Linked DNA regions of Arabidopsis thaliana. The protein of the gene in region 1 interacts with the protein of each later gene in a pairwise test. Each region holds a gene or a part of one and is shown in the gene's direction. Other genes may lie near its edges.

What was found.
Region 2: the proteins of AT2G40650 (region 1) and SR45a interact in a two-hybrid assay, tested with the Arabidopsis thaliana proteins (one study listed by BioGRID).

The regions. Positions count from the first base shown.
Region 1 is NC_003071.7:16,962,480-16,967,754, reverse strand, and holds AT2G40650 (PRP38 family protein), read left to right. Parts: upstream 1-1,956; 5' UTR 1,957-2,158; coding exon 2,159-2,448; intron 2,449-2,643; coding exon 2,644-2,765; intron 2,766-2,855; coding exon 2,856-2,946; intron 2,947-3,036; coding exon 3,037-3,157; intron 3,158-3,252; coding exon 3,253-3,326; intron 3,327-3,797; coding exon 3,798-4,167; 3' UTR 4,168-4,469; downstream 4,470-5,275. Other genes in the region: AT2G40660 (Nucleic acid-binding, OB-fold-like protein), read right to left, coding at 1-80, 173-295, 421-486, 683-748, 903-1,073, 1,288-1,386, 1,682-1,744; AT2G40640 (RING/U-box superfamily protein), read left to right, coding at 4,557-4,962, 5,058-5,275. UniProt on the Arabidopsis thaliana protein: Probably required for the first pre-mRNA cleavage reaction catalyzed by the spliceosome.
Region 2 is NC_003070.9:2,256,669-2,262,061, reverse strand, and holds SR45a (RNA-binding (RRM/RBD/RNP motifs) family protein), read left to right. Parts: upstream 1-1,874; 5' UTR 1,875-1,960; coding exon 1,961-2,050; intron 2,051-2,475; coding exon 2,476-2,576; intron 2,577-2,676; coding exon 2,677-2,785; intron 2,786-2,909; coding exon 2,910-3,059; coding exon of another isoform or gene 3,060-3,311; exon of another isoform or gene 3,312-3,459; coding exon 3,460-3,523; intron 3,524-3,614; coding exon 3,615-4,074; intron 4,075-4,155; coding exon 4,156-4,330; 3' UTR 4,331-4,668; downstream 4,669-5,393. Other genes in the region: MAC5A (CCCH-type zinc fingerfamily protein with RNA-binding domain-containing protein), read left to right, coding at 99-322, 654-1,500; STP2 (sugar transporter 2), read right to left, coding at 5,350-5,393. UniProt on the Arabidopsis thaliana protein: Probable splicing factor involved in constitutive and/or alternative splicing events. May bridge the 5' and 3' components of the spliceosome.

The DNA.
Region 1 (5,275 bases):
TTCTTAGCTGGTTCTGGTTCAGCAGGCTTCTTCTTTTCCTTTTTGGCATCCTTCTCTTTTGCTGCATTTTTCTTTGGTTCCTACACGAAAAAGGACAGAGGAGAACACCAGATTCAACTAATTAAAGAGACTCACAGTCATTGAAATCAAACTTAAAAGTTAAAATAAGTACCTCTGGCTCAGTTTTCTTTGTGCCCAGCTGCGGCTGCACATCTGGCTTGTCAACAGGCTTTACACCTTCTGCAGCTTTTTTTGAATTAGAATTTGTTTCCACCTTAATGGCAGGTTTTGGTACCTACGTTTAGAATAAATGAAAAAGATCAGAAAACCATTTTCTCATCGCATGTAATACATCTGAAAAAAGTAGCATGTTATTATTGTTTCTCAGTCTAAGAAAATGGGTATGAAAAGATAATTCACCTCGAAGCTAAATTCTGGTAGCTTCACAGGTATTGGTGCAAATAATGTCGACAACTCTTCTTTATTCTGTAAAATAATACGCAGCATATATTCGTAAAGCAGACAATCACAAGGAAAGAAAAATGTGAAAGGTGATGTTCAGAGAGTGCATATCTAGCTATAGTCACTAACGCCGTTACGCGTACACATAAAGTAGTCCTCCATGGATTTACAGGCTACCTCGGCGCAATCAAGTAACAAAACTTTATGATGTCGAACTTACCTGGATGTAATTCACCCATCTTATGACATGTGGTACTTTCTCCTTGTCTGAATCTGAGAGGCCAAGCTGGGAACAGCAAGTCAAACAGATAACAGTTAGTATTTAATACCTTTAGTCATCAGTTTATGAAAATTTGATCGTAGCATCTTTATCAAGTAACATAAAATTACTTATACAGGAACGAAAAATAAGTAGACTACGGAATATAGAGAAGTGGTACCACTGAAGAATGCAGAGCTGAAAACACAGCAACATCAGCTGCCGATGGCGTCAATCCGTTTCCCAAGAGCACTGACTTGGTAGCTAACTCTAAATTCAACTTTTCAAGAGCTGAAAACCAATCCTTTGAATCTGAAGAGAAACCTTCCGCAAAATCTAGCCACTTCAAAACCTGAAATAGGTTTTTACTCTTTAAAATGTGAAACAATGACGCATTATGCAAACGAAAGCCAACGAATCCTCATCATTTAGCATTACACAGAACTCAAACATACTAATTCATTTTTTTTCTAACGTGGTAGCAACGAGAAGGGAACTCAATAAATTCCCAGTAAGAGTTTGGCGTTTATGTCTATAGGAACCAAATTCAAGAAGAAACGACTTACATCGTTGTTTTGTGCAGATACTTCCTTTCCAGATGCCTTCAATACATTAGAATAAAGTGTCTTGATATCACTTTCACCCGCTCCGCCCACAAAAGGTTCCTAAACAAATGAATCAAATCAATTTCAGAAACAGAACCAATAAATCATCACAATGTAAAATCATAAAAGCCAATTTCTAAAGTTTTTTCCTTTTTCATGACCAGCTTGATGCATAAGCGTAAACACTGATAAGTCCAAAACATAAACTTTCTAATTGATTTCAGTACCCAATCAGATAATGTTCGAGTTTTCTCCACTAACTAATTCAAAAAATGATCATACACATACTCAGCTACCAAGCAAAACCTCACAAAAAAGCAGAAGCTTTTGAGATGTCATCTTCTTCAATACTTACAGGATCCAAAGAGAAGTGTTTGCAGAGAGCTGAAAGAATCATCTGCTTCGCCTTTGAATCCATCGTCAACTTCTTCTCTTTCTCTATTTTCGAAATTTTGTTCTTCTCTTTGGGGCTCTTCGCTGTAAGAAAACACACTGCAATTTCTTCGATAGGGTTTTTGCTTGATGTAACTAACGGTCCTAACGGACTTCCAACTAACGGCGTTATCTCCATCTATAATGGGCCTAGATATATTAGCAGCCCATTAATATGTTCTTACTATGGGCTTTACCACCGAAAGCAATCATTAATAAAATAAAATAAATGAATTAACTTCTCAGATTCTTCAAAGACCTAGAGTGTCTTCGTCTTCGACGACGGCAAATTCGTGGAAGCTGTTTCATCGATTCCGGCTTCACTGAAGCGGCGTCGCTCGACGTTTATTATTCCGACGACTAGGCCTTTGAGGCAGTTTCTGATTAACTTCAGGCGATAATGGCAAACAGAACAGATCCGTTGGCAAAGAATATAAGAGGAACGAATCCGCAGAATCTGGTAGAGAAGATTGTGCGAACGAAGATTTATCAGCACACCTTTTGGAAGGAGCAGTGCTTTGGTCTCACGGCGGAGACATTGGTGGACAAAGCTATGGAGCTCGACCATCTAGGTGGTACCTTTGGTGGTAGCCGCAAGCCTACTCCGTTCCTTTGCCTCATATTGAAGATGCTTCAAATCCAGCCTGAGAAGGAAATTGTCGTGGAGTTCATAAAAAATGATGACTACAAGTAAGATTTCTAACCAAAAGCTTATTTCTGCGTAATCTAGATTGGATACTGCTATTAGCCTTGTCGTAGTTGTTTCTCAAGTATACAGGTATGGAATGTCTCTCAAATCTATTGGTCTTAGATAATCTACTCTCTTAGTTTCTGCAGATATTTGTTCTTGAATTACTGAAATATTTACTCTTTTGGTTTCTGCAGATATGTTCGTATTCTTGGTGCGTTCTATCTGCGTCTCACTGGGACTGATGTTGATGTCTATCGCTACCTCGAACCTCTCTACAATGACTACCGGAAAGTGAGACAAAAGTTATCTGATGGGAGTAAGTTTCATTTTCTTTCGATGGATCCGTTGTGTTTAACTTTTGATTGATTTGTTCACTAACTAGATTTATTTCTTTGGTTTGGAATAGAGTTTTCGCTGACACATGTGGACGAAGTCATTGAGGAACTTCTAACCAAGGATTATTCTTGTGATATTGCAATGCCACGTTTGAAGAAAAGGTTTCTTCTTTTGCATTTGTCTGAAGCTGAATAATTAGTTTTTGGTTTCTGCAGTATTTTAAGATGGTTAATTTTTCACTCTGATGATAGGTGGACGCTTGAACAGAATGGTTTATTAGAGCCAAGGAAAAGTGTTTTGGAAGACGACTTTGAAGAAGAGGAAGAAAAGGAGGAGAATGAAGGGATTGCTGATGGATCTGAAGATGAGATGGTCAGTGCTTTCATTCTGCAATAGTTTTTATGTGATCTGTTTTCTGTTTCTATCTAGCAGCTCTAAGATGATACCATCTTCCTCCTCTTTTACAGGATCAGCGCCGTAAGAGTCCTGAAAGAGAAAGAGAAAGAGACAGAGACAGGAGACGCGACAGTCATAGACACAGGTATCTGAATCCGTGACCTTTACTAGATACATTTCTATGCTAGTTAACATTTTTCAAAAAAAAATTCTTTGTGATTGTGGAAGCTGTTTGATCTAGCTAATGCTCTTGCATCATGTCTAGTACTCTGTCTTTTGAGTGTCTGTTTCCACTATGGCATCTCAAGCCATCAGCGGTTGGATACAGCTTCCGAAATTAAATTTGTAGAGATCCTTCCAGGTTTCTCTGTACTGACAGTGTTCAGAGAGAAGTATTATGGATCAGACATTATTACAATCCTTACCCTGATACAGTATATGGTAGTTGTCATTGTGTTACTTTGAAAAAGATCAGTTAATCATGAGAGCACTTCCCATCTAGTTTTTAGCTCAATCAATGTTTTCTTTTTGTTACAGATTTTCATTATGATTGATGTTGAGACTTGAGCTCATTGTTTCATGAATTATAATTTGACCATGGTTCTGTGATTGGCAGGGATCGTGATTATGACAGAGACTATGATATGGATCGAGATCATGACAGAGACTATGAAAGAGAACGTGGGCATGGTCGAGACCGGGATAGGGAGAGAGACAGGGATCACTATAGAGAGCGAGATAGGGACAGGGAAAGAGGCAGAGATAGAGAACGAGACAGAAGAGACAGGGCAAGGCGCAGAAGTAGAAGCAGGAGTAGGGATCGTAAGAGACATGAAACTGATGATGTGCGGGATCGGGAAGAACCTAAGAAAAAGAAAGAAAAGAAGGAGAAGATGAAGGAAGATGGAACCGATCATCCAAATCCTGAAATTGCAGAGATGAATAGACTGAGAGCATCACTGGGAATGAAACCCCTCAGGGACTGAACTGTGAAATGAGGACATCTTTATCAAACCGAAACTTGGTTCATTTGCCCAGCTAAACCGGTTACTACACTGTGATCCTACTCACTATAGTTTTGGTTTTTTTGAGTTTACCTGATCCCTCTTTAATGTAGAACAAAATGGAGAATCTGTAATGGCATTGTACTGTATGTTCTCTAAACCGTAAACGAATTGTGGTCGAGAAATTCTGAATGTAACCCGGTTCTTGATATTAGTTGTTTTTAAGGTAATTCAGATAAATATAAAAACCTATATGTTATGTCTACGTGGCGATATCACTTTATGAGTCCATGTAAATCGGACCCACCAAAAGCTTATAGGTAAATGATACGGTTTCATAATCATTAACCATCACGACGCGCGTGCTACTCATGTCCCACTTACGACGACGTCGTTTTAAACTCTCTCTCTGTGCTCTTCCAGTCTCTATCGATCGCCTTCTGAATTTTCCGGCGGAAAAGCAAATGTCCGTTAACGACAGTATCGATCCTCGGTTCGTATTCCACGTTGAAGATGAATCTTTGCGTTTCCGTGTGGGAGATTCAGGTACTAAGATCCGGGAGCTCGAAACCGTCGGCGATCGCCATTTCAGAACCCAGCAAGGTTTCTGCGGAAATAGAATTGAGAAAGATGAAACCATGTATTCCGATGGAGATGATGAAGAGTACGACGTTTCTATCCGAAGACGAACTGCTCTGATTCAGCCTGGTATTGATTCCGGTAACAATTATGATTCTGCTGCAGCTGAAGAAACCAACAGAGAAAGTAAAAATCCAGGTATAATAATACTCTACATTACTTCTTTCACGACTACCGGAGATTCCAAGATTGTTGAAGCTAACGAAAAATTCTTTGGTTTTACTTAAGCTCAGTTGGTTGGGAACTGGTTGTGAGAGAAGATGGGGAAGGTAATTCAACGATTGATCGACATGAAATGGAGTTTAAGGTGAGGATCACTAAACCAGATGGTAACGTATCTAATTCCCACCGTAACACGCAACAAAAGCGAGATTTTGCTTCTGTGGAGAAGGAGAGAGTCACTACTACTAGTGTCAGCTCTTGGGAGTCTCTCAAGGCCATCCTCTCTGAT
Region 2 (5,393 bases), on another chromosome or scaffold:
ATTTTATTTCAGCATTTGTTGGTTTGAGAATTTTGAAGACTTACTCTAGCTTTCTCATGGTGGCTTATCTAAGTGATTTTGCTTTTTCTGTTATGTAGGCTAGAGCTGGACTGGATTATGAATCTTCATTCGGGAAGATGCGACCCAATGATACTATTTTAAAGCTTCAAAGAACAACACCGTACTATAAGAGGAACCGAGCACATGTTTGTAGTTTCTTCATCAGGGGTGAGTGTACAAGAGGTGCTGAATGTCCATACCGGCATGAGATGCCCGAAACAGGAGAGCTATCCCAGCAAAACATAAAAGACCGTTATTATGGGTAAGCTTTTTTCTTCTGTATGTTTGACTTTGTTGACGTTTAGTTCCGTTCTTTATTGGTTGTTTCGATACCTCCCCTAAGGAGTGTAAAATTTCATATGTTTCTGCCATAGTACTATTTTCTCCTTGATCATTCATAATATACTCGATATTTGAAAGCTTCTGATATGTGAATTCTTGGACTGAACTATGCTATGTTGGCTCTCATGTAGTCTTGTTACATAGTGTCGTTTCCAGTTTTAGTTCTCTTTGTAATGTATTAGTACTTTTGCATTTATTCTTGTTGAAGAGTTTGTTTTAACTGTTTCTCATTTTCTTTTACACGTTTTCAGTGTTAATGATCCAGTTGCTATGAAGTTGCTTGGCAAAGCTGGTGAGATGGGCACTTTGGAATCGCCAGACGATGAAAGCATCAAAACCCTTTACGTCGGTGGACTTAACTCGAGAATTCTCGAGCAGGACATACGAGACCAATTCTACGCTCATGGAGAAATTGAATCTATCAGAATCTTGGCCGATAAAGCCTGTGCATTTGTCACATACACAAGCCGTGAAGGTGCAGAGAAGGCTGCGCAAGAGCTCTCCAACAGGCTAGTCATCAACGGTCAGAGGCTAAAACTCACATGGGGAAGACCCAAACCTGATCAAGATGGTGCAAACCAACAGGGCGGTGTGGCTCATAGTGGGTTACTACCTCGAGCCGTTATATCTCAGCAGCACAATCAACCCCCACCAATGCAGCAGTACTATATGCACCCACCACCAGCTAACCAAGACAAACCTTATTACCCATCAATGGACCCACAGAGAATGGGTGCAGTCATTTCAACCCAAGAGGCTGGTGGTTCAAGCACTGAGAACAACGGAGCTTCATCTTCTTCTTACATGATGCCTCCACACCAGTCATACCCACCACCACCATATGGATATATGCCATCGCCTTACCAGCAGCAGTATCCTCCTAACCATCATCATCAACCTAGTCCTATGCAGCACTATGCCCCGCCTCCAGCAGCTTACCCGTACCCACAGCAACCTGGTCCTGGATCAAGACCTGCACCGTCTCCAACCGCGGTCTCTGCTATATCACCCGACTCTGCACCTGCTGGGTCTGGAGCACCTTCGGGATCCTCTCAACAAGCTCCTGATGTTTCTACAGCTACTGGTTCGTCTCAGTAGAGAAGAAATATCGCTTAAAAAATGTACTGCAAGTTTCCCGCTATTCAGGACGAAGGTTTTTTGTATTCTGAATGAATCATTTTCTTCTGCTTTTTAAAGTACTTCGGAATGTATTGTTTCTTCAAAACGGTTGTTAACGAAATCTATCAGTTATAGAGGCAATTGGTTCCATGAAGAGTCTGCAGTTATTGGCCAATTTCATAAAGAACTTTGAGAATATTATTATCACAAATTTCACATTTGCTCGAATCGTTTATTTTTTTTTGAGAATTCTACTAGTAATTTGGATAAATGCAAATAATCTGGGAAATACAATTGGGCCTTTTGTGAGAAGAAAAATCGTATAAAGCTGGGCCGGACGCCAAACTGAAAAATGTGATGGAATTTTTAAAATTCAATCGCGTCCGACTTTCCCGAAGCTTCTTTCTAAATCCTCTCTACATATATTCCCCACTCATATATGGGGAAACGTGAAATTCATTTTACTCCGGTGGGTCGTCAGGTGCAGAGAGTTCTGGAATATCCATTGCGCTTGGAGAATCGTTCGCCGGTAATTTGCTTCATCGATTGTATTATCCTTCGTTTTTTAGTTTCCGATTTAGAGCCGTTTTACAGAGTTGTTTTCGAAATTCTGTGGAACTATCGTCTTTTAGGTGTTGTTAGATCTGAATCGTTGCTGTAAATTTCGATGTGCTTAAGCTTGATTCTAGACTTGTAAGGAAAATAACTAGATAGATGTCAGCATTTATATCATGTGATCGAGTATGATGAAGTTCTTAAATCTTGTTTTATGTGGAAGTTGATTATTAAGAATAAGATAATTATGTCGTCTTCATATTACAATAGCTTAAAATTTGAATTGTTCTTGTAGATTTTGTGATTTTGTGGTTCGATTTAGCATGTTCATATAAGTTTAGACAATACACTTGAAGCTAATAAGAGTCTTAATTCTTTAATTGTTCTATTTTCTTGTAGATGTCTTACTCAAGAAGGTCAAGATACTCTCCTTCACTATCTCCTTATGACAAGCGTCGTGGAAGGTCTGTGTCAAGGTCATTGTCTAGAAGCCCGACGAGGTATTTGTCTTATTCTTAGGTTTGAGTTGTCGTGACTTGATGTTTGCTGCTTTTGAATGCGCTAATGTCTGATTGTTTTAAATCGCTTTTGTTACATTAGGAGTGTCTCAAGCGATGCTGAGAATCCTGGTAACAGTTTATATGTAACTGGATTGTCTCACCGGGTTACTGAAAGAGATCTGGAGGATCATTTCGCTAAAGAAGGAAAGGTTGTGGATGTTATCTTTAATTTTGAACACAATTCAGTTTCGAGTAGCTCACTAGTGTATAATGTTTAAAGAGAAATTTGTTTGTTCATGAGTTTTAACATTTGTGAGCTTTTGATATTTCTAGGTAACTGATGTTCACCTTGTCCTGGACCCATGGACTAGAGAATCTCGCGGATTTGGTTTTATCTCTATGAAAAGTGTTGGTGATGCTAACCGTTGCATCAGATCTCTAGATCACTCTGTTCTGCAGGGCCGCGTCATCACTGTTGAGAAGGTAAAAAGACTAATCACTAGTGATTCCTTCTATAGAACCATAAAGAATATGATCTGGCCGAAGCTGATATTGATATATGCAATTACTAGGCACTTTGATATTGATTTTTTCTTCTCTTTTAAAATATTTAAGTTGTTTGCTTGTTTCCACTTTCAAGTTTCTGTGGCAGCAGGTCTGCTGTTTGTAGCAGCAGTGCTTCACCAAATAGCAAACGTTGCAACAGTTCAAACACATCAAGTTTCAGACATTTAGGGTTGTATGCCCTGCATTTCTCTCTTTCTTGAACAATTTAATATTCCGTCCTTTAGTAGCTTCAATATAGGAATGTTGTTTTTGTCGTGTTTCCTGTTTCATTGATGAATGTCTGACAGATCTGTGATATCTCTGGTTTTCTGTTCAGGCAAGACGTCGTAGAGGACGTACTCCAACTCCAGGAAAGTACTTGGGGCTGAGAACTGCTCGAGGTATGACATCAATTGTATTGGTTTTGTCACAATTCCGTAGTCGGTGTTTCCTGATTTTACCTTAACATGGTTTTGTTTCTTCCCTTTGCAGGACGACATAAGTCTCCTAGCTACTCTCCCCGCAGGTCTGTTAGCTGCTCTCGTAGTCGTAGTCGAAGCTACTCATCTGATCGGGGCAGATCTTATTCTCCAAGCTATGGGAGAAGAGGAAGGTCATCCTCGTACTCACCCTTCTATCGACGACGCAGATTCTACTCTCCTTCGAGATCTCCTTCACCTGATGATCGTTACAACAGGAGACGCGACAGATCATACTCACCTTACTACAGGCGGAGGGACCGGTCCAGATCCTACTCACGTAACTGTAGAGCACGGGACAGATCACCTTACTACATGCGGAGGTACAGGTCCAGATCCAGGTCATACTCGCCTCGCTACAGAGCACGTGACCGATCATGCTCACCCTACTACAGGGGAAGAGACCGGTCTTATTCACCCCACTACCAAGGGAGAGACAGATCCTACTCACCTGAAAGTCGTTACTACAGAAGGTATGGTGGCGGTCAACATAAATAAACAGATCAGCTGAAACTGCTTAGTATTGTTGTTTCTGAAAATACGTATGAAATCAGGCACAGGTCGGTATCGGGAAGCGTAAGCCCTGGAGGGAGAAGCATGTCACGTAGCATATCCCCAAGGAAGGGAAGGAAAGAGAGCAGAAGCAAGTCTCGGAGGCACGACAGGCAATCTTCAATGTGTCATTCGAGGAGCGCAAGATCAAGCACCTCCAGATCCGTCAGCCCATAACAGTCTCTACTTACTTGAAGTTGACATCAATCACTCACGTCTGTTGTTGTATTAAGCATTTTGGGACTTGTCTATTCCTTGTATTTGGAATTGATGACAGTACGTATGTTATGTTGGTTTGGTGTTAGGATACTTTATTACTTCTGTGGAAATGTTGCTTTGGCGACGAGTCGTGAGAGAAATGGAATCTCTTCTTTGTTACAAAAAATCTATTTTCATGTCTTTCTACTCCAACAAATTTCTGTTGTTGTATAATTGTTCCACTTACTTTTCCAACTTTTTTTCATAATCAATAGACGATTTTCAGAAATATCAACTTTTAGGGATGGACTCATTACTCACTTTGTGGCATTCTTCTTTCAATGTTGTTGTATTTTTAAAACAAAATTTTGTTTTAATTTTTTTTTTTACTTTGTCTTAGCTCAAATTATCAAAACAATAAAAAATTGTCTTAACCTTTTTCTGTTTTTCAACATTTTACTTAATTATATGTAAAACAAATTTACGTTTCTTTCCCTCTGAATTATTTTCTAGTTATATTTTGTATTTCATACACCTATGTGTAAGTGGTATAAAGAGTAAATTTAACTTCTTCTTCTTTTCAACAAGAGTAAATTTAACTTTAAAACTAAAAATTACATGATTTTATTAGTGATATATATAGTTGTTTTTGAATAGTTAATATAGATTATATTGATATGCACAAATCTCTTAGTGATTTGTCCCACTTTATTAGGAATCTTAAAAACTGAAGTTCGAGAATATTGTCGTTTGCTTAGACAATTCAATCCCCAAACTATAATTGTGCCTGATTATTTGAATACCAGAACTGAAAATATTAAACTTCTCCAACTGATTGATAAACATATCCAACTGAATCTTTAACAATTCGAACTACAAACTTAAAAAAATAGCAGAAAATAAAAATCAAACCCTAGCTAGAAAAATTAGAAAAGGTTCAAATTACTAGTTATTAACTAGGGACCTTGGGGAACAAAAAGAAAGAAAGAAAATGAAATCTAGTCTTTGAAATATTTCTTCCAACGCGGGTGCGTTTTCCAAC